3 linked regions of the Pelodiscus sinensis genome follow. The protein of the gene in region 3 interacts with the protein of the main gene of each other region in a biochemical or structural test. Links are inferred from orthologs where the notes say so. Each region holds a gene or a part of one and is shown on either strand. Other genes may lie near its edges.

Region 1 (8,086 bases), on a different chromosome or scaffold from region 3:
TATTGCAAGGTAGATATAAAAAGATTATTTAAAAAAAAATTAACACACACATTTTTAAAAAATAAACACTGCCAATAACTCCAGAGGTGGTCAGACATGCTGGGCTGGAGAAGCCCTGGTCACCGCGAGCCACTGGGCTGGGTGGTGGGACCCCCAGCTGCAGCTGCGATAGGGCTGGACAGGAACTAGGTTAAAATGGTTAACCAGCCAAGTGCTACCGTTTAACCATTTTAACATCCCAAATAAACATTTAAAATTAAAATTTTAAAGTATGTCTATGCTTTTTAAAATCTTACAGCTTGATGTCTATCTGGAAACCAGTATCAAGTGGAGTGCCCCAGATGTCTATCTTGGGGCCAGTTTTGTTCAACATCTTCATTAATCTGGATAAAGAGATGGATTGCACCATCAGCAAATTTGTGGATGACACTGAGCTGGGGGGGAGAGGTAGATGCGCAGGAAGCAGGGATAGGGTCCAGAGTGACCTAGACAAATTGGAGGATTGGGCCAAAAAAAAATCTGATGAGGTTCAGCTAGGACAAATGCAGGGTCCTGCACTTAAGATAAAAAAATCCCATTCACTGCTACTGACTGGCTAAGCAGCAACCGGCTACCAACTGGCTAAGCAGCAGATCAAACTGCAGTGGGGGAAGTCTAGGGTGGTTATTAGGAAAAACTACTTTTCTAGGAGAGTGGTAAGCATATGGAGGTGATAGAATGTCCAACCTTAGAGGTTTTTAAGGCCTGGCTTGACAAATCCCTGGCTGGAATGATTTAGTTGAGGCCCTGCTTTGAGCAAGGGTTTGGAACAGATAGTCTCCTGAATTTCCACCCATGGGGACTGCTCCTTGTTAATGGTTAACGATTACCTGGTAAGCATCACCCTTAATTATTAAGGGTGATGCTTACTTGGTCACATCCCTACTTTTCACAGAAGATGACTTGCTAGCTAGCAAATCTAAACAAACGCCACCACCACCACCCCGAAATGAGCAAAAGGAGCAGGCAAAAAAGATAGGATGGTACAAAGCACTTTATTTGTATTTCTATTCTGTTTAGGTCCAGTGAAGAATAGAGACAACTACATTATTTGTATTACTGAATTTGTAAACCAAAAAAAAAAAAAGAAAAAAAAATCCCTTGAACTCTACACAAATAAGTTAGAAGGATTTGGACATGTATATGTTCATATTTATTTGTTCTGCCAAAATTTAATTAAATATGTTAGGAAAACAAGTCAAAGTGGCTGCCAGGAAGAGTAACTTGTGAGAACTGCTGCCTTACTACTACTACTTAAGATTCAGCCTTTTGCATCAGACTGCCAAATCTCTTGTAGAGGCCATTGTCATCCAAGACTTTGAGTGTTATAACCCCAATCTCTGACTGTGACATCTGCCACATCACATTCCTTAAATCTACTAAAAATAAAGGGATCCGCTTATTTTCCTAGCTCCAACTAGGGATGTGATTAATCCATTAGTTGACTAACCTATAAGCAAAAGCTTATCGGATAGTCAACATACTAGTCAACTAGCCGCTCCCCCACTCACAGAGAGGTGGGGGGGGGAGGGGGGGGCAGAGCTGGTTTAAAAGCCAGTTCGCTCCAGCTCCATGGGAGGGGACAGGTGTGCAGCAGCAGAGTTCCAACTTTGAAATGTACAAGAATCCCCACTGGGGCTCCTGTACATTTAAAAAAAAAAGAGGAAGCGCCTGCATGGAGAGCGGTCCAATTTTTAAACGTACACGAGTCCCTGCTGGGGCTCTTGTACATTTGAAAGCGTAAGTGCCGGCATGGAGCCTGGAGTCAGCGGGGGGTTCCACACTGACCCTGGGCTCCTCGCAGGCGCTTCCACTTTAAACTGTACAAGAGCTCAAGCAAGGGTTCTTGTACATTTCAAAGCGCAAGCATCACATGGAGCCCAGCCTCAGCCTGCTGGGACTCTTGTACATTTCAAAGGCAGAACGCCTGCTAGTCCTTATTGACTTAATGGAATAATAGATAGAAATCCCACGGACTATTCAATTAGTTAATTAATCAAAATTTAACCTCTCTAGGGCCAACCACATCTCTCTACTCTTGGTAGCCTACTGGCTCCCCTCTCTTCCACTACATCAAACACAAAACTCCTGGGTTTTGCTTTTCAGGATTATCATTTAGACTTGTGGTACTCATCTTCATAACTAAATGACCGACCCACCAACCCTGTCTTCATTTGACCAGTGATGCCTCCTTGATCACCCTCTTCTGGCTCAAGCATTCTCATGATTTCTCCCACGTCACCACGCTACCCTTTATGAAAACAACCCCCCAAACCCAACCCACTTTGGCTGTCAAAGCCATCAGCTGTCCTCTTTTAAATCCCTCCTTAAAACCAGCTTCTGCCCCACCTATCACTCCCCCCACAGCAGTTAGGCAAGAAGGGAGCCGAGACCCAGGCTCTTTCGCTTTACTCTTCTCTCGCTCTGCCCGCCCGTTCTTAGCGGGACACGTGAGGCTCTTCAATAGCTTAACGCCGGCACAGCGGGGCCCGTGTTCCCCTCCCCCGGCCAAAGCGCGCCAGGCCCGCACCCCACTTAGCACTGAAGTCTCGAGCCAGCCCCTCCCCGCAGAGGCCCCACGACCGCCCGGCCGGGGCTCACCACCACCTCCTCGAAGATGCTCTGCAGCTGGGTCTCCATCGGCACCATCGGGATGGCCATGGCCCCGCCCCGCGGCCCCCGACTCTCTGCGGGCGGCGGCACCGAACCGGGCCCGGGTCCCGCAGCCCCGCCTGGGGGTGGCCGCGCTGAGGAGCCGAACAGCGGCGGCGGCTTCTGGCTCAGGCGGCCGCGGCCCCGGCGGAAGGTGCGTCCCGGAATCCGGCCCCGCCGGGAACCAGCTCCCCGGGCCGGGCAGTTCCGCGCGCCTCGCTCCCCGGCCTGAGGCCCGCCCCGCTGCTGCTGGACGCGCCCAGCGCACAAGCCGAGCGCTGCTCTGCCTTTGCAGGGGCGGGCACCGCCGGGCCCAGGCTGGCGAGGCCTCAGGCTTCTCTGGTGCTCAGGCGGGGGCGCATCCTCTACTCCCTCCGGCTCAGCAGGGCTTAGGCAGCAAGCCCCACGGCTGGCAGCGTTTCTATATCGTGTTGCCAACTTTTCCCAGGCCAGCGCTGTCCCAAATCTGCTGAAAAATTCCCAGATTATTTTTTACATATTATAAAGGCTATTTTATGTATCGTTAATTCGTTGGTTTTATTTTATATACATATATATATATATATATATATAATTAATAACTCGAAATATACGACAATAATTTTGATGGTTTTATGATGCTCTCTATAATTAAAAATATAATTTTATGAAAGCTGAACTTTTCATCCAAAAATAATTATTTTTCATATATCCAAATATCCTTAATTTCATGGATTGTATTTCATACAATGAAAGAATAATAAAACAGTTTAATTATTTTACTCCTGGAGGATAAAATCCGTACAGTATACACTTCAGTATACACTTCAGTATACATTTCAGTTATATATGATAAATAAAGGAAGTCGTCAAATATAAAATATTTTCGTTTCATATAAAATGAATAGAATATTTAATACATAATATTTAACTATCACGATGAGTTTTCAGTTGAGTCATGACTTGACTCCTCACTAGAAATGTCATCACCAGCATTAATATTTTTATCAGTCTGACCACCAGTTTTTCTGGCATATCCATATTCATACTTATTTTTATTATGTAAACTTAAATGCTTCTTTGTAATTACAAAACTAGAACATTTTTTTTGCTTTAAAAGCTGAGCTGATAATTACACTAGAATTAAGTGTTTTAGTTTTCATGTTACTCCTTTTAGTTTTAATGTCTGTAACCATTGAAAAAATTCTCACATGCTGCATTTGAATGTGGCAATGCTAAAACCTTTTGAGATAATTTACAAATGTTTGAAAACATACATTTTTCAGAAAAATGTTTCGTTTTAGAAATTTCATGCCACATTTCATTAATAGGCTTATTCTTTACACATTCAGTTTGATTTGATTCTAAAGAAAATGGCAAGGCTTTGAGTTCACTCTGAGCAGAGTTCACATGTATCTTAAATACTGCACAAAGTTTGGAGATATCTTTTTTTTCTTTATCTACATCAACATCCTAAGACAAATTTTAGGATCTATAAATCCAACCTCTGAGAAAACAACTGAGTCAAGTGGCAGCCTGTGCTGCATTTCTTGACAACAAGTGATGTAATAATGCTGAATCACTTTTCTTACATTGATAGCTACACTAGGATCAATACATTTTAAGGACTCCTCACACTCTGGACCAGTATACATTTCATTAATTTTGATAAAAATAGAGGGATGCGACACATTAACTTTCATTGTCACCTTTTAGGAAATATGGTTGTAAGTAATTTGTTGCAATTACTTTGAAAAGGTTCACTGACTGGTTTAATGCAATGAATGAGTGGAGATTGGCTTTGAAAGAGAGCATTGAATTTGTTCGTGTAATCCAAAACATATTTCAAAAATAGTAGGTAGGCTTTAAGTTCTGGATTACACATTGCATCGTCTATTTCTTTTGCTTTTGGTCTTTTTTGATCGACACACTCAAGTTGTATATAGTTAAACAGGGCATCCCACAGCACTAATATTCTATTTACACAAGGGTGTACAGCTAACCACCTTGTTTGACTTGAGTTTAACATAGATAAATTTAAATGGAGAAAATATTCAACCATCTCCTCAATTTCTTCTTTCTTTTTAACACTATGTGCTGGATAGTTAGTGATATTTGTTATAAACTGCTCTACGAAATTAGGCAAAACTGTAGAAGCTGAACTTGATATCAGGGCTGACATATGGCAAATACATCTCAACAAAACAACATCTGGAACATCCTCTCTAAGTTTAGAGAAAAAGGAATTATTTGCTCCTATCATCAAATTTGCACCATCACAAGCAACACCCAAAATATTATTCAATGGGATATTTTTTTGAACATTGACTCCCTGAATTTAGTATAAATGCTTTCCACTGTTCAATTTTTAGCATCAAGTTCAATGAGTTCTAAAAATTGACAGGCAACCCTATTGACCAACTGAGAGCAGTTTTTGATAAATCTGAATGGTCTGCAAATTTTTATACCAAAGGAACGACAAAATGAACAGAAATTTTAATTTTATTGAAAATTTCCCAGGATTTAACAGATTTTCAAGAAAATTCCCAATTTCCCATTTTGACACATTATACTCAAAAATTCCCAGAATTTTGGAATTTTCCCAGGATATAAAAACACTGACTGCTGGGCACCCTCTCCAGAGCTTGGGAGCAGTGGTGCCTACGGTGGCCAGGCTGCCTTCCTAAACCAAAATCTTGCTGAGCCTTGTTTGTAGGAATAAGGTGCAAGAGAAAACCGTACTGCAAAACAACTCAACAGCTGTCGTGGGTACATTTCCCCTCACCCCCCCTCCCCGGTCCATTTTATGCTAAGCCCTGTGGTGTGTAAAAAATCCACCATCTGGAGTGATGCTTTTATACACTCAAACCCCATGGAGAGTGTTATGTACACACAACTTCTTTCACATAGTTACTGTTGCTTAGGTCTGTGTAATAGCATCTTCGCTAAGGTGCTACAGCAGTGTTCTTCTTCTAGTTAGGATATTTGTTCTTGTATATTTACAAGTCTGGAGAGCCTCCTGGAAATACAAAAAAAACCTAATAAATTAGTCTGGTAATCGAAGTGGATGGCTCATGCATTGGACCTTAAGGATTAGTAGTAGATGTCTGAAGCAAACAGGGTTTTCTTAAATAATCTTGTTATCTTGCAATAAACCTCCTTACAACAATCAGACAAACATATAGAGCATATAGAAGTCATAAATTAATACAAGCGAACCCCACATATTTCAAAAGTTTACATTAGTATAGCTACGCTAGTGGGAGTAACAGTAGAAGTAACGAGAGGGTGAATTCTTCCATCTCAGTGAGTTTCACAGAGCCTGTGAAATGCATTGTGCATGGTAGGGATGTAAGCAAGTATTGACCATCCAATAAGGATATGCTTATCAGAGAGAGGCAGCAAGTCGGGGGAGCAGGAGCCGATGCTGGAGGGAGCCAGCTTAAAAGCCGGTTTACCCCAACACTAACTCCACTGGGAGTCTCTTGCTACATTTCAAAAGCAGAAGCGCTGTGGAGAGTATGGGGCCAGCGCGGGACTCAAGAAGTCCCCCTGTGGCCCAGTGCTCCCTGCTTTTGAAATGTACAAAAGCTCCAGGGGGATTCAAAAATACATCCCCAGGCTCCAGAGGGTGACGCCTTTGTCATTATCTCACTGGAGGACCTTCCCCACCACCCTACCTTATCCTCCCTACCTTCATCTGACTCCAGCTTGAGTCGGGGGAATACTTGAGTCCCCCTGTTGGCCCCAGTGAGGCTCTTGCTACATTTCAAAGGCAGAGACGCCCTTATCGACTATTTGAATAGTCGATGAAAATTCCATCAACTATTCAATTAGTCTAAATTTAACATCCCTAGTGCATGCCCAGTCTCAGCTATTCACCCCAATGGCAACATTGTATGTTTAGTAAGGCTTGCAGCATGCGTTCTCAGTTCTCTAGCCAGAGGGAGAAGTAAAACAAACCTGACCCAGCCCTAACCAGAATCCTGGTCTTTAATTCTGCCACACACTAAATCTAATTTGGTGCTCAGCATGGTCCACATGTTAATCCTGCCTTGAACTCACAAACTGGCACTAATGGTAATTCTAAGCCTGACCTAAATCTAACCATACTTCAGTTTATCAGTTTTAAGAGACGCCTAAAGCAGGGGTGGGGAACCGTTTGTGGGCTGCTGTCCCACAGAAAAATAAGTCTAGGGCCAAACACAAGTGAGAAGCAAAATACAAACAAACAAACCCTCACTGATGTGGCCCCCAACTCAGAAGGAGAAAGACACCTCCCATGTTCCCCTCATATACCAGAGCTAAGTGGGGTCCAGGATAGTAGATTTTGTGTGCTTCAGCCCCCTTGTACACCAGAGCCTAAGGGGAATGGTGGGAGAGGAGGCTGGAATACCAGCACATATTTCCCATTGCTGTGGGGGGAACCCTGAGCCTCAGGGGCCATATCCAGGCAAGCCAGGGGCTGCATCCAGCTCCAGGCCTTAGCTTCCTCATCCCTGTCCTAAACTTAGCTTTGGCAAACAACATGGTCACCCCAGCTGAGTGATTTGCTCTCTGCTGGATTCAATCTGGAGTTTGAAAACTCTGATTAATCCCTCTTCTTTCCCCCCTTACCTTTTCCATTCCAGGTGCACTGATCTCACTGTTTTCTTTATTCGAGTTTGGGAGTCAAATGTTTGTGGCATTTGTGTGTTGGAGCTCCTTCAGAGGCTAGGCAGGGAGGAGAGAGGTGATTGCTTTGAAGTATGCGGGTGTGTAGAGGGGTCTGATTTGTATTTAATTTTCTTTCCTCCTTTGCTTGGGATGTACAGAAGGAGCATCTGTATTGGAGGGCAGCAATCAGAAGACAATATAGCGTGTTAGTGCTGGACTTTCGTGTTCCAACAGCAGTGTTATGACACTAGAGTGATCTCAAGGTGGGAAGGGAGGGAGTAGGGTTGCCAGGTGTCCAGTATTCTACCGGACAGTCCGGTATTTGCGCTATTTATCTGGTAAAAAAAATCAGAGAATACCGGACATGTGTCTAGGCTTCTGAATCGCCGCTCTGGGCACTTCAGAAGCCTAGCCGGGGGGAATGGCTAGGAGTTCCAGCCACTCCCCCTCCCCTGCAAGGCTTCTGCGCAATCACAGGCTCCCAGTGCCAATTGTGGCCCCGCCTCCCCATGTTCCTTTTTTTTTTAAATACCACGTGTCCGATATTTTTTGGGAAACCATCTGGCAACCCTAGGAGGGAGACATTTCTGCAACAGGGTGCAGTGGACGCCTGGCCTGTCACTGTGATTCAGAAACAAAATACAGGACTATGTAGCACTTTAAAGACTAACAAGATGGTTTATTAGATGATGAGCTTTCGTGGGCCAGACCCACTTCCTCAGATCAAATAGTGGAAGAAAATAGTCACAACCATATATAC
Region 2 (7,406 bases), on a different chromosome or scaffold from region 3:
ATTAGAAACATGGTATCCAATACACTAGCCACTATTGGCTACAGTATTTGGCTTGAACAATGTGGTATTTGGCCACTTGAACGTGGTTAGTTCGCTATAGCAGAATTGGTTGTATACCATGGTGTTAGAACCTCAGGTCTTCAGCAAAACCCAGGAAGGCCAGATCTGACAGGTCTGATTATTTTTAAATTGAAGAACAAGGAAAGAAATGTAACTCACTCCCAACTCCTCCTAAAAGAAAAAGCAAATTGTTTAATTTTCTTTATCCTATTCTGGATAAGGCCATGGTCTTCATTTTTTTATGTTAAAAAAAGCAGAACATGCAGTTGATACCCCTTTTATGGGGGTGGGGGGGAAGGAGGAGAAGGGCAGTACAAATCCTAACCCCATCTTCCTTTGCAGATTATCTTTCAAGCCCTACAGCTATTAACTAAGGAATAGAAGAACAGACTTGAGATGTTAAATTGCAGGCAAGCAGCTAATCGAGTCAATAAATGGGGAAAATGCAGAGCCACAGCAGGGTTAATTCCCCGCCAGTGAGCTAACCCCGCTGTGGCTCTGCTTTTTAAATGTATTAAGAGCCACCAGGTGGTTCTTAATACATTTAAAAAGCAGAGGCACAGCATCTGGGAACAGTCTCGAGACGGGAATCAGCTAATTCCTGGTTTGGGCCTGGTCCCTGCGATGCCTCTGCCTCTCTTGTCCCCCTATAAATGGTGCTGGGGGGGGGGGGGAGAAGAGAGAGAAGAGGAGAACTGGCTTTTAAGCCAGCTCCCTGTCAGCACTGGCTCCTGCTTTCCCTTCCCCATCCTCCCCGCCTCCCCCAATTTCTGCTTCTCTCTTAGAGGCAGTGGGGGGAGAGTGACTAGTCAAGTCACTACTTGGCTACCCAATAAGCATATGCTTATCAGATAATCAACTAGTCACTTACATCCCTAAAAGAGACATGGTATTACAAGTTAAAATTTGAAACCAATATAAAAGTATGAGTGCTATTTTGGTAATCTAGCCTCTCATGGTGTCTTGTGTGTTTGGACAGTTTCCACTCTCACCTCAAGTCTTTATAGGAAGATAGCCTGATTTATGCATAAAATAAGCAGAAGTGATAGTTTATACATTTGCAAACACAAGTTGCATGCCTTGGTATAGATTTCTTTATGTTCACCAAAAAGGGCTATGTGATATATCTCAGTGAAATTAAACCAAGTTAAGGAAATGTTTGAAGGACTAGGGTTTAGATCATTAATAGTTTGGTAGGCCCTACCCATATTTCTCATTATACTGAGAAATTTTTGCAGTAGAAGAGCCTGTTTAACTATACCACCCTCTGCACAGTCAGGTGATTCCTCAAGCAGGGCAGTTTCCAGAAAGGTTAGTATGCTTACTGAATCTTTTCAGGCAAAGCCCTCAGTATTGGGGCCAATTACAGAAGGAGCTGGCAAGACTTGCTCAGTGGATCACAACTCTCATGAAAATTATTTTCAGGAAACAAAAATTGAAAGAATACCAAATACATATAGGAAACAACCTTTTAAAAATTTCACTTACAGGATGCTATTAACATTATTAAATAAATTTGTTTACAACATGACTTAAATTAGTCTCCTTTTAGAAGTCCAGGAAATAAAACTGAAAAAGCAGTGTGAAATTAAGAGGGTAAACTGAATTTGGGAATAATGGATGCACATGCAATACATAAAAACTATCTACAAATAAGCAGCACAGAAATCAACATAGTATCACTCAAACTTCAATCTAGCAATCTCTACATTATCATAGTAATATTTTTTTCCAGTTCCAGAAGCAGTGTAATAATTTTGTGTCTACTGAACTTATTGTACAGGCTATAAAAGTTATAAGTTGAAAAATAAATTTGTCACAAATCCCATAGGAGTACAAACCAATGGCCAATTACACGATTTTTCTATATCTACAAACCGAAGTAGATGTAGCAATATGGAGCAGAAGACATGCTTCTATAATACACACGCTCAGCGAGCGCACACATACATAAATCAACGCACATCACTGAGCGCAAAGGGCATTTGACAAGCTTATGTGTGCAAAAAACGAAACTAAAAACTTAGCATCGGTGTCCCGTTAATAAGATGCTGCTGCAAAAGGATGGGGGCCGTAAGCGCGGCTGATTCCATTGCGCCTCCAAATAGGGAGATGAGCGTGACGGGTCAGCTGCCCACTGCTCAACACCTGCCCGGAGCAGATGACTCTGTGGCGGGTGGAGGAATTCGCTTGCTTCTCCCCAAACCCAGCCGGTGTAGGGAGGAGGGCAGGAGGTTAACTGCGCCTCGCCAGGCCGGGGGAAGGGAACGACCTACGCTGCCCAGCCGCGAGTGAGCGTGGCAGACGGCTCGCCCCCGGCTACGTGCGCGCGGTGGGGCAGGGGCCTCGGTGACTGGTGTCACACAGAAGGGGGAGGCCCACTGAGTAACGCAGCCGCCTCCCCCCTTGAACTGTCTGTGCCCGGGCGGCCAGGGGAGGGTTCTCACTGGCCCCGGCGAGGAGAGGGAGCAGGAAGGGCGCCGCTCCCCGCCACGGGGTCAAGCCGGGGATCCTCACCGGGACGCGGGGCAGGCACCTCGTGTGAATACTGCGACCGTCTGTAGCCAATGGCCGTGTCCGCTTCGTCTCCACTGGGCGCCGTCTCCGCCCCCTCCCCCTCCTGCTGCTGTGGGGGCGGCTCCTCGCGGGGCAGGCCCCGCAGCCCGGCCCCGTTGTCCGCGCCGCTCCAGCCCTCCGCCGCCGGCCCCCCCACCGCCCCAGCTGCGGAGCCTGCGGTGGGCGCCGTCCCAACGCCTCGCTCTGGGCTTGGGCCCGTCACCGAGCCACGCCCGGCACCGTCTTCCAAGTCCAGGCGCTGGCGCTTAGGAAGGGGCTCGGCGCTCTCGGCTGCGGCACAGGGGCCGCTGCGCGGTTGGAGGAGCAGAGTCTCCTCGTCCGCCATCTTGGAACAGCAACCGCCGCCTCCCCCAGTCCGGCGCACCAGCGCCTCAGCTACAGCCCCCTTCCCCGATCCCCCCCGCCCTCCAGGGAGAGATTTAAACCCTGCACGTGACCTCACCGCCGCCCACGCGGGCACCCTCCCCGCAGAGGCCGCAACAACAACAAACTGGGTCACGTGAGGGGAAGGGATAGGGTGGGAAATGCCGCCGTCACGTGACCCCGGTACAAAGGCTGGGCGCACCTCGCCGATGCCCTCCACCCCCTCACGTGACCTACTAGCGGGGTAGCTTGCCGGGGCTTTGCCAGTGCGAGGCGTTATGTAAGGGGAGCGCGGGAAGGGGCGGGGCTGCGGGAGGCGTGAGCAGCTGGGATGTTGTGCGGGGCAGGAGGAAGCGCTGTAAGGGCACGGATGGAGCAGGCCTTAGGGGTGGGGAGGTGAGAAAGAAAAAGCAAATGGTCCCACAGAGTAGGGGAGAGGGGCTGAGAACGAAGGGGAGCACCCCAAAGCGATCAGCCCAGTGAGGGCTGCAGAGGACGGACAGGAGGTGCCACTATTTTTAATACAAGTTGGAGGAGGGAGTGGTGTTAAGAAATCAGAAGGCTTGCATTACAGCCAGAGCTGTAGAAGTTTAACTAAGGGTGTGTTTAAAAGTTTATCGTTTTAGATGCTTATTCATCTGAGTATTTGTTTAATTTAAACTGTGTTTTGCAAGATTTAAACTAACCCCCCAAATAAACCACTGCTAAATATAAATATTATGTATGCATATGCAAATGTGCACAGATTTAAGTAAATCCGTTTTAAAACACACCTGCAATTAAACTGTTACCAGTTTGTGCAGGCAAGCTTAAAATCACTGGGATTCCTGTTTTCATCAAAGTAGGAGAAAAAGGAAAACCTGGTTGAAGAAGGAGAGAGAGAATTGCCAACCCTGTGTATTAAAAAAATCTGAGTGGCTTAAAAATGAAACTTTTTAAAAGCCCAAAAGAAACTCGCATTTGCTTCATACATTTTCCTTGTTGCTTTTTGAGCCTCTTGTTTTCCTGCTTTTCTCTGTATCCTTTAAGGCTACAGATTCACATTAATTTTTTTAAAATACAAGCTAAGATTCTCAGGATATACCTGCAGGAGATGATCTAGTATTATAAGACTTTTTATAAAATTATGAGCTGGCAATACGATGAATGTTACACTCTTCATAAGGTCATGGTTTTCTACAAATAGTAACAGGCATTGCTATTAGTGTACTTTGGGCATATCTATGTTTTGTGGCATAGCATGACTGTGGTACTCTTAGGCGATGTCTAGACTGCAAGCCTCTTTCGAAAAAGAGCATCTAGACTACAAACAGTACTTTCAAAAAAGCAAGCCGCTTTTTTGAAAGAGAGCACCCTGGCAGTCTAGATGCTTTTTTTGAAAAAGCACAGTTTGCATTACATAGCGCCTTTTTTTAGAAAGAGCACTTTCAAAAAAAGGCGTTAATCCTTGTAAAATGAGGTATTCCATGATCAAAAAAACTGCTGCATTCTTTTGACTTGCATTTTTTCAAAAGTATCAGCAGTCTAGATGCGGGGAAATTTTGTTTTTTAAAAGACCACTTCTTTTTAAAAAGCCCTGTTGTCTAGACACACCCTTAGTGTAGACACTTCATATGTTGATGGAAAAGGGTTTTTCATTGATGTAGATCAGTGGTCTCCAACCTTTTTAAACATGAGATCACTTTTTGAATTTAAGTGCAATCCAGGATCTACCTCAAACCCAAATACCCCTGCCTTGTCTCCTTCCCGCCCCTTCTCTGAGGCCCTGCACCTGCTCACTCCATCCTCCCTCCCCCATTCTCATTCTCTTTTATCAGGCTGGGGGCAGGAATTTGGGGTGCAGGAAGGATTTAGGATGGGGGCTGGGGTTCAGAATGCAGGTTCCAGCTGGATACTTCTTACCACAGGTGGCTTCTTGGTGGTGGTGCAGGGGGCTAAGGTAGGCTCACCCCTGCCCTGGTCCTGCACCACTCCCAAAAGCAGCCATCAAACTCTCTCCACCCCTGTCCCCCTCTGCTCTGTGGAGATGGGGTACAGGATGGAGGGAGGGGCACCCTGAGATCAGTACCCCCCTTCCTCTTCTTCCCGTGCCCTGCACAGCAAGCAGGAAGCTCCCATGGGTGGGGGGCAGTTCCAAGGCTGGGGGAAGGAGCAACAGGGTAGCACTTAGAGGGGAAGCTGAAGTGCTGGCACTTGATAGTCTCCCGGCCAAACCTCTCAGGATCACCTGTCAAAGGCTCCAAGATCTACCAGTAGATCCTAATCTACTTGTTGGTGACCACTGATATCCACCTTCCCTAACAGCAGTAGCTAGGTTTGATAGAATTTTACTCTGATCATGCCACCACCAAGAGTTAGGTCAGCTTAACTAAAGCAGCACATGGCTCCTTTGGGGTGGGAGTGTGGGGGGGGGGGCGACTCAGGCTTACCTGGGGGGGCTCCTGGTCTCCTTCCCGCCCCTTCTCTGAGGCCCCGCACCTGCTCACTCCCATCTTCCCTCCCCATCCTCATTCTCTTTTATCAGGCTGGGGACAGGAATTTGGGGTGCAGGAAGGATTTAGGACGGGGGCTGGGGTTCGGCTACTTGGTGCCTGCCTGTCCTGGGGGCACCATGCTGTGCTCCAGAAGCAGCCAGCACAGGGGTGAGCAATAATTTTTAATGGGGGAGCACTCCAAGAATTTGGTAAGTGGTCAAGGGCTATAGAAGGGAGCTCAGGATAGGAGACTGGGATGCAGGAGGGGGTGTGAAGTCTGGGAGGGAGTTTGAGTGAAGGAGAGGATTGTGACCTGGTTCAGTGCATTGGCATGCAAGGTTGGGTAAGGGGTATGAGTGTAGGAAGGGGTGTAGGAAAGGGTGCAAGGGTTTGGATTGTGATCTAGGGCACAGAGGCTCATTTAACTGTACATTCACTAATGTGATCTATGCCATCAAATGCCAGCAATGCCCCAGTGCAATGTATATTGGGCCAAATCGGACAGTTTCTATAGGAAAGAATTAATGGACACAAATCAGATATCCAAAAAGGCAACACATAAAAACCTGTTGGAGAACACTGTAATCTTCCTGGACACTCATTAATGGATCTCCAAGTCGCTGTTTTGTTTGACCAATTCCACAAGCCAAATACACAGAGAAGGATTGGAGCTTAACTTCATTCCCAAGTTTAATTCTTATACTAATGGCTTGAATTGTGATATCAAACCAACCAAACAATGAAGGTGCTAATGGTTCTTAATGTCTGTGTAGAATCTGGCGTTGTTCATTTTCCTTTCCAAGTGCAAGCTAATGGTTCTTATCAGCCTCTTATAATTATTTAGTCAAGATGCTATTAGGGTATGTCTACACTAGCGCGTTAATTCAAGGTAGGCAGGCAATTGAAGCCCGGGATATAAATATCCCGGACTTTATTTGCATGTTCCCATCTGGTCGCCATTTTGAAATTTCACTATCCCAAACTCACTGCCGCGCGGATACATGCAGCAGTGAAACGTTAATTCGAACTAAGTCTTTAGTTCAAATTAACTGTTACTCCTTGGGACTTAGTTTGAATTAACATTTCACTGCCGCATGTAGCCGCGCGGCAATAAGTTCGGGCTAGTGAAATTTCAAAATGGCAACCAGATGGGAACATGCAAATAAAGCCCGGGATATTTAAATCCCGGACTTCATTTGCAACTCTGGTCACCTCATTTGCCTACCTAGCTCGAATTAACGAGCTAGTGTAGACATACCCCTCAATTGTTTGTTGGTTTTTAAGTTTTTCCTGTTACAGACTCGCTCGGCTGTCCTTTTGAAGCTTATCTACTCACTGTCTTTTTTTCTTCCTCCCCTTCAATTTTTTTCCTTCTCCCTCCCCCCCGTCTTTCCTTATTTATTCTTGGATCTGGACTTCAACACTCTGGTCATCTGAAGAAGTGGGCTGTGCCCACGAAAGCTCATGATACCATCTACAGGTTTTGTTAATCTTTAAAGTGCTACTAGACTATTTGATGTTTCTTAATTTTTTCCTGTTACAGACTAACTTGGCTACCCCTATGAAGTTTAAGAATATCTTTATTATTCCCAAGAAATTAAAAAGGCCCAACAGCAGTGACCATAATCAAAGAATGAGCACTATGCTTTATATTGTTAATCCTGTGTATTACTCTTCATATAGTTGTAACTAGGGATGTGAATGACTAGTCGCTTCTCCTCTCCTCCCTCCCCCCCTTCTGCTTGCTACTTCTATCAGAAAAAGGCAGCAAGGTTTGGGGGGACAAGGTGCTTCAAAGTGGCAGCGCTGTGTGGAGCCCAGGGCCAGATGGGAGTCCTCAGCTGGCGCTGGGCTGCACGTGGCATTTCAAAGTGACAGCACCATGTGGAGCCTGGGGTCACCTGGGACTCCTTGCTGACCCCAGGCTCCACT
Region 3 (7,806 bases):
CTCTGACAATATGGCAGCAGATGGGGGACCACGATATCTTTTGAGCGGTTCACGAAGGCAGGTTTTATGGTCTCATAGAATGCAATTAACTGGAGGTGGGTATGGACAACAAATGCCAGATCCAAACTCCCTCTGCTCTGGCTCTCAGCTGCACAGTCCACATATTCAATAACATAGCTGCCTTTTGCTAATCTTCTCAAGGATAGGCTGTGTAAAAATCCAGCAGGATTGCATCATGAAGCTGTTCTAGTAACCCTCCAGAAGGCCGATGAGAGGAATTAATATTGCCAGAGCAACCTTAAAACTGCCACATTAGCTTCCCCCACCCCACTACCTTCTTTCCCTCGGTTAATAGTAACCCTTAATGTATTGTTCTTTATTATTGCATCAGAGAATACAAACTACATGCTGGGCAAAGCCACAGGAACAGCCTTAACTCTGAGCAATCTTCTGCTCAAGTGACCAACCACACAGGTTTCAGCTTACATTTACCCATCACTTTTCCATCAGTTTTAATGCTCAGAGGGATCCTTGTGACCATCTACCCTGACCTCCAGCACAACACAGGTGGGTCAACTCCATGCTAAGATTCTTGCACCAAGCCCATTCACTTGTGGTTGAAGAGAACGTGTCTTTTGGAAAGTTTCAGAGGGGAAGCCGTGTTAGTCTGTTTCAGCCAAAACAAAGAGGAGTCCTGTGGCAACTTAAAAGACCCACACATTTATGAGGGCATAAGCTTTCGTGAGCTGCAGCCCCCTTCCCTAATATCTGTGTAAGCCTTTAATGTACCACAGGACCTTGTTTTTTTCTTTTGGAAAGACATCTGTTCTGGATTTAAAGAGAGAAGCCCGCACCCTACTGATGTTGATGGCAAAAGTCCAACAGAGAATTCTGATGTCAAATGACAGACAGCCCATTTCCCTTGGTCAGCTGTTCCAATGGTCAGTTAAACTCTCTGTTAAAAATGTGTCCCTTCTCTTCACTTTGAATCCATCCATTTTCAGCTCCCTGCCATTGATCTCCTCCTGCCTTCAACTGCTCCATGAAAGCACCCTCTTGGCAGGTTATTTTCCAGTTTGTTTGCTTTTAATTTGAGACGGCAGAAAAAGAAATCACCTTCCGCCACTTTTAAACCCAGCTGACAAATCCAATAGGTGTATGCATGCCTTGCTCCACAGTTAGCCATCCTAACAGTCTCCCATGCGCCACTAGCTTTGCCACATGTGAGCCTCAAAAGGCACCCTCTGACTAGCGAGGCAGGCAGCACCTGCTGGATCCGAACTGGACTGGCTTCAGGTCATCCATGAAACCAGAATGTATGTAGCGGAAGTCATGGACAGACGAATGTCAGAAAGGACGGGTTGAGTGCGCAGCAGGATGCAGATGTCACCTCTGTTAAACCAAGCTCACTTAGGGCCTGACCCAAACTCACTTGAATGTCTCCCAGGGACCTGACCAGGGTCTAGAACCGGTCTTCCCACCCTCCTATGGATACTTGGGGGATTTCCTCCTTTCTAAATGGGCCCCTTCATCCCCACTGTCCTTGGGCATCAAAAATGGCACAAAATAAAGTCCAATCCAGGCACAGACCTAGCCAGGAGAGCCGCAGCTCAGGAGGGGAATGTGCCTAGCTAGTCCTTGGCCAGTATGGAAATAAGTAAGATCCCTGCGACAGACTCTGGCGGAGACCCTGGGGCAGCCTGACCCGCTGCAGAGGCTGCTACGGTTTCACCAGGGCCCGCAGGCTGCAAGCAGCACCCCCCTTGCAAGGAGCCGGGTGCAGGGCAAGCAGCATTTCCAAGCCAGGCTCCTCCGCTCTGCCCCAAGCAGCATTTCCAAGCCAGGCTCCTCCGCTCTGCCCCAGGCAGCTCAGGCAAAGGGGCTGGGGAATGAGCAGATGCCCAGGGCCAGGAGGTCTGGCTTGGCCCCTGCTGGGCGCTCCCTGCTGCACTGGGGGCCCTGTTCTCCAGCAGGCCAAGGCCAAGGCCACGCCCCCTCCGCCGCCCGCTCGCGGCTGAACTCTCCCCGGCAAGAGGGAAATGACCGAGAGTAACCCTCCCGCTGACGTCAGGGCCCCGGGGGAGCCAAGGGGCGGGGCTTGGGGCAACAACTCAGCAGCGGGCGTGGAGCCAGAGCCCGGAGCAGCGCCGGGCTGGTCCCTTCTTAGTGGCGCTGGCTTCCCTGCACCCCCTGGCAGGGGCCAAGCAAAATCCTCAGCGAGTAGTGACCCCCCACCTAGGGGCAGTGTGGGGACAGCCCCCCCCCGCGAGAACGGAAACTCCCCCCCCCCCAGCCATGCACCAACCCGGAGAGCACCCCGAGATGCCGCCCGCCTGCAGAGCGCGCCCCTCTCGCACACACGTGGGCAACACGAGCGGCTGCACGGCCCGGAGCTCAGCCACAGCGCCGGAGGATGGGAAGGGGCCGAGCCCCTGACAGATGCAGCACGGAGGGGGGCAGCAAATAACCCCTCCTCCCCCTTGATGTTGAAGGGTAAAGAGCCTTGGAAAAAAGCCCAGCGCCCTTCCCCCCTAAGCCAGGCGGGTTCACAAGTGCCTGGACATCAGGAACATTCACCCCCGCTGCCCGCAGACCCGTGGCCGAGCTGCCATTTAGCAAGGACTTGAGCCGGACCCAGCTGTCCCCTGCCCCGCTTCCCCACGCCTGCTCCCCGTGGGGGCAGCTGCCCGGTGCCCGGCCGCTACCCACCATCGATGTCGCTCAGCAGGGCTGTGTCTATTTCGCTGGATTCCTGCAGAGTCAAGGAAGGGTCCAGGCTGTCCAGGGACGTGTCCTCAAAGGAGAGGCTGGTCATTGTCCGGCCTGCAGGGTCGTGTCCCCCCTGCCGGGGGGGGGGTCACGTTGGAGGCTGCTGCTGGGCTCTAGGGGCTTCCCCCCCTTTTCTTTTTCCTGCTAACAAATCCTTCCCCCGGAGGAGTCCATGGACACGAGCCACTCAGCAGCCCACAGGAGCAACCCAACTTCTGGGCAGCGGCCGCAGCCTGCCGGCAGCCCCCACCTCCATAGCTGGGGAGGGGGAAAAAAAGTTGCTCAATGGAACTGTGCTTCAAACCTGCTGCTACCGGGGAGGGCAGGGAGGGGTGGAGCCCCATCTGCTGGCCCCACCCCCTCTGCCTGATTGACAGCCACAGCCTTGCAGGGCAGGGGGGGCTGAGCCTGGAGGCTGAGTCAGGGGAGCCCGCGGCGCGGAGAGGGGCAGGCGCGGGGGTCCCCTCTCCCCTGCCGCGGATTGGAGCTGCAACGGGCAGGACTTTCCCGGGAGGGGGCGGCCGCGTGTCCCGCCGACGGAGACAAGCGGGGTCTCCCCTTGGCGCGGGGACCCAGCGCTCCCGGGATCTGGTGTCACAGGCGCGCTGGTGCATTTCTTTCCGGGGGGGCTAAAATGACCCCCCCCACACCAGCGCGCCCTGCAGTGAGACACGTTGCGGGTAGCGCACCGCGCCGCCCTAAGACTCCAGCTAATCTGTGACTGCAGCGGAGAGCGGCTCCGAAAGGGGGGAATGCGAGCGCCCCCCCCCACCCTATACCGATGTACCCCTGGAATCCACAGCAAAGAGCCCCCCGGGTTTTAGCTGCGCGCGGACCCTGCCGCCGCAGCCTCCCGCTTCTGTTTGACAGCCAGCCTGGACAACCCACTCCTCGAGGCAGAGTGGGAAGCCGGGCTGATCACTGCGTGAGCCTGGAGCCATGGCTTGGCCTTTTCCCACTCACCCTAGTCTAGGGTGTGTTTGTATCAGGTTTAGCTAGAGCTGCGTGGGGGAGGCAGACCCAGAAGAAAGTAAACCCGCCCCTAGCCAGGCCTGCCTTTTGGGGACTATTTATGTTTGCCATGTGCAGCACTCCAAGAGAGATCGATTGCAGAGTGGCAACCTAACCCTAGATTTTTGCACAGCTCTGCAGCATGATTTGCTACTACAACTCCCCGCTCGCCTACAGCTAGCAGTCTGAACAAGTGGGAGGATAGAAAGAGAGGGGCTACCCCGCTCCAGATGCCTGAGAGAGGAGGATTAGGGAGAGTGCCACCTAGCTGGCCCCAAATCTCAGAGAAATATCTTGTGTTGTCACCGATCCGAGGCTGAATTAATGGAGGGAACAGGCCAGGAAGACAGCACAATTAGTCTCTGCAATGCTCAGCTGAGAGATTCTGCAGATTTCAAAGCTCAGCTACACTGACTAGCAAGAACTGAACTTGTTCTGAAGCAAGAGGTGGTGATGAACAGGGAAAGGGCAACTGCCTTGAAGTCCCCGGGGGTGTGATTTTGGGGTGTGGTTACCATGGTGTAATCATCTAATAAGATTAGGAGTCTGGGGCAAAGCTGCCAAAGTTGAGTTTATATCCACAGATAGCCCACGGACCCTATTTGCAGATGGATCCAGATTCAAATTTAATATCAAGCCCACCCTAGAGCACAGAACAGATTCTTTCACCCAAAACCATGGCAAAGGAAGTTGGAAGCCTCTTTCAGGCAGGGCCATCCTTCCCAAGTATGAAACACACAATCACTCCGTGAACAATATCAAAGAACAGCCTCCTGCCTCTGAAAGAAGTGACTACCTGGCCTCCGTCCATACACCCTCACTCCCTCTTGCTAATGAGCAGCCAGGCTGGGACTCCCCTAGTGATAAACTAATGCTACTAAAGCCTAGAGACAGGAACCTGCAGGCATCTGCCTTCTCCAATCTAGACAGCATCTTTCAGTTCCTTCCATGTTTTAAACACAGGCAATGTATAATGTACTTCTGCCATGAAATGGGTATATAGGTCACTGAAAGTGGCCTACACAGCAGTAGCTTCCAGCAAAGGCTGGCGTCTAAAAGGACACATGATTTGCCAAAGGTCAGTGGCAAAGATGAAGACGGTGTAGACGGAGCTTGGTCCTGCCTTGAGGGTGGGGGGCTGGACTCGATGACCTCTCGAGGTCCCTTCCAGTCCTATTATTCTATGATTCTAAGACAGAACCCAGGAGTTCCAATTCACAGCTGCTCTAGATACCATACTGATTCCTCTCCTTCAGCCCCTTGGGCAAAAGGCACAGTAGTAAGCACCAGGTGATAGCTTTCTCTGGCTCTGATGATCCTGATGATCCAGGGTATGGAGTGGCTACAAGGAGAGGATATGAAGATGAGGGCTGTTCAGCTTAGAAAAGAGACTATGGGTGTGGGTGTGAGAGAGAGAGAGAGGGTATGTCTACACTACCCTCCTAATTCGAAATAGGAGAGTAATGTAGGCATACCGCAATTGCAAATGAAGCCCGGGATTTGAATTTCCCGGGCTTCATTTGCATAAAGCCGGCCGGCGCCATTTTTAAATGCCGGCAGTTCAAACCCCGTGCCGCGCGGCTACACGCGGCACGGAGTAGCTAGTTCGGATTAGGCTTCCTAATCCGAACTAATCATTCCACGAGGAGTACAGGTAGTTCAGATTAGGAAGCCTAATCCGAACTAGCTACTCCGTGCCGCGTGTAGCCGCGCGGCACGGGGTTCGAACTGCCGGCATTTAAAAATGGCGCCGGTAGGCTTTATGCAAATGAAGCCCGGGAAATTCAAATCCCGGGCTTCATTTGCAATTGCGGTATGCCTACATTACCCTCCTATTTCGAATTAGGAGGGTAGTGTAGACATACCCCGAGAGAGAGATGGAGGTCCGTAAAATCATGAACAGCAAGAGGAGTAAATTGTTCTTTCCCATAATACAAAAAACCAAGGGTCACCCAAGGAAATTAACAGGCAGCAGGTTTAATAAAAACAAAAGGAAGTACCTTTTCCACATAATTTACCACCTGTGGAACTCATTGCCACAGGGTGTTAGGAAGGTCAAAACCAGATGACTTTATGGCAAAGGTTCATCAGTGGGTTCTTGCCCAGATGGTCAGCAATGCAGCCCCTAAACCTGACTACTAAACACCAGAGAGAAAGAGGGTGGATTACTCCAACTGCCCTTTTTTGCACATTCTGCCTGAAGCTCTAGCATGGTCCACCGCTGGAGACAGGACACTGGGCAAGATGGATGGTTAGGCTGACCTAGTAGGGCTGGGCTTATGTTCTTTTGGAGAATCAATACATTTGACAAAGTCGATCATTGCCCACGAAAACTTATGCCCAACTAAATGTTGTTAGTTTTTAAGGTGCCACAGGACTCCTTGTTATCCCTGAAGTGTACCCCAGGGACAGCAAGAGCATTTCAGACTAATCTCTGATTGAACACAGCCTAGGCGAAAGATTTGGCTGTGTGAATAAGATCAGGAGTTATTGCAAAATCTACAGTAGCCTTCCAGCACGAGGCATTACAATCAAACGTGTCTATTTTCCCTGCCCCTCAGGCAGCTCCCTGCTCTGCATAAGCAAACTTTTGCTGGGGGTTAGCCCTTTCTAATGCAGCTGCGGCCCCTTGCAGTATCTTTTAGGCCCACACAAGCTACTTGAGTAGCCAGTGTAGAATGAGACCAAGTAGCATGGCGATGCAGGGGTTAAAAGAGGACCCGCCTCCATGCATTTCAGGCGACCAATGGGTTCCCGCCGGGGTGGGGCTCCCCCGGCCTAAGTTCGGTTGAGCAGTGGGGAAACCCCGCCTGTAGAACCAGCGGTAGCAGCCAATGGGCAAGCCTGGCCGGAGTGGAGTGATTTTGCGTCACTGCTGCGATTACATCATGTGAATCCTCCAGGGGAGGAAGCAGCTGGTGCACGTGGTTGGAGTCACCAAACTCTCCCCAGGCTGGCTGGGAGGGAGGGGGCAGTGGGAAGGGTAAACAAACCAGGCCAGGGCCCAGCTGGGCAGGCCTGGACTTGCTCTGGCAGGGCTTGGGAAGCCAGTTTGAGGCTCTGCCAGGACTAACCACTACTCCTGGAAAAACTAATAGCACCTTAAAGACTAACAAAACATGTAGATGAGCTTTCCTGAGTGTAACCCACTTCTTCAGATGACTGGAGTATTAGAAGTCCAGATCCAAGAATAAAGAAGGGGGAGGGAAAAAATAGAGACAGTGAGTAGATGGTTCAAGTAATTAGAACAGGCTGATAAGAACAATTAGCACCTCCATTGTTTGTTAGGTACATTAAGTCACAAGATGTGGAAAGTAGTGTGTGAGCCAGCTGATGTCCTTGTTCATACTATTTGCATAAGAATTAAACTTGTAAATGAAGTTAAGTTCCAATCTTTCTCTGGGAATTTGGCTTGTGGAATTGGGTGACTTGGAGACCCATTAACGAGTGTCCAGGTAGATTAAAGTGTTCTCCAACAGGTTTTTGTGTAGTGCCTTTTCAGCTATCGGATTTGTGTCCATTAATTCTTTCCTGTAGAGACTGTCCAGTTTGGCCAATATACGTGGCAGTGGGGCATTGTTGGCATAGATCAGTGTTTCTTAACCAGTGGTACAAGTACCCTTAGGGGTACTCAAGAGAAGTTGGGGAGGGGATATCAACACCTGAAATTGGAAGAAAACTGAATTTGTTTTAAGTTTTACAATGTTTTATTATTTTTGTACTTTTTACACCCAAAAATTTCACCACTCACCTGGCTATGATTAAGTTGTTTAAACAAATGTGTTGCAATAATAGAAAAAAATTGTGAGTATCTGAAAACTGTAGGTAGTGAGGCTATTCAATATTATTTATTTATTTTTTTAAAAAAGGGGTACTTTATTAAAAAGGTTGAGAAACACTGGCATAGATCATATTAGTGGCTGTGCAGTTAAATGAGCCTGGCCAAGCCGGGGGGGAGAAGATGAGGCAGCCAACACCAGGGACAGATGTGAGTTGCCCAGCTTCATTCACAGCCAGGAGGCACTC

Evidence for each region.
Region 1: the proteins of SREBF1 (region 3) and MED23 form a complex in vitro, tested with the Homo sapiens proteins (2 studies listed by BioGRID). The link is inferred for Pelodiscus sinensis from reciprocal best matches to the Homo sapiens genes SREBF1 and MED23.
Region 2: of the proteins of SREBF1 (region 3) and SIRT1, one has a biochemical effect on the other in vitro, tested with the Homo sapiens proteins (2 studies listed by BioGRID, with this or other methods). The link is inferred for Pelodiscus sinensis from reciprocal best matches to the Homo sapiens genes SREBF1 and SIRT1.

What each region holds. Positions count from the first base shown.
Region 1 is NC_134713.1:93,693,532-93,701,617, forward strand, and holds the start of MED23 (mediator of RNA polymerase II transcription subunit 23), read right to left. Parts: upstream 3,006-8,086; 5' UTR 2,701-3,005; coding exon 2,641-2,700; intron 1-2,640. UniProt on the Homo sapiens protein: Required for transcriptional activation subsequent to the assembly of the pre-initiation complex. Component of the Mediator complex, a coactivator involved in the regulated transcription of nearly all RNA polymerase II-dependent genes.
Region 2 is NC_134718.1:27,706,475-27,713,880, reverse strand, and holds the start of SIRT1 (NAD-dependent protein deacetylase sirtuin-1), read right to left. Parts: upstream 3,038-7,406; 5' UTR 2,963-3,037; coding exon 2,578-2,962; intron 596-2,577; exon of another isoform or gene 118-595; intron 1-117. UniProt on the Homo sapiens protein: NAD-dependent protein deacetylase that links transcriptional regulation directly to intracellular energetics and participates in the coordination of several separated cellular functions such as cell cycle, response to DNA damage, metabolism, apoptosis and autophagy.
Region 3 is NC_134726.1:33,268,741-33,276,546, reverse strand, and holds the start of SREBF1 (sterol regulatory element-binding protein 1), read right to left. Parts: upstream 3,096-7,806; 5' UTR 2,816-3,095; coding exon 2,710-2,815; intron 1-2,709.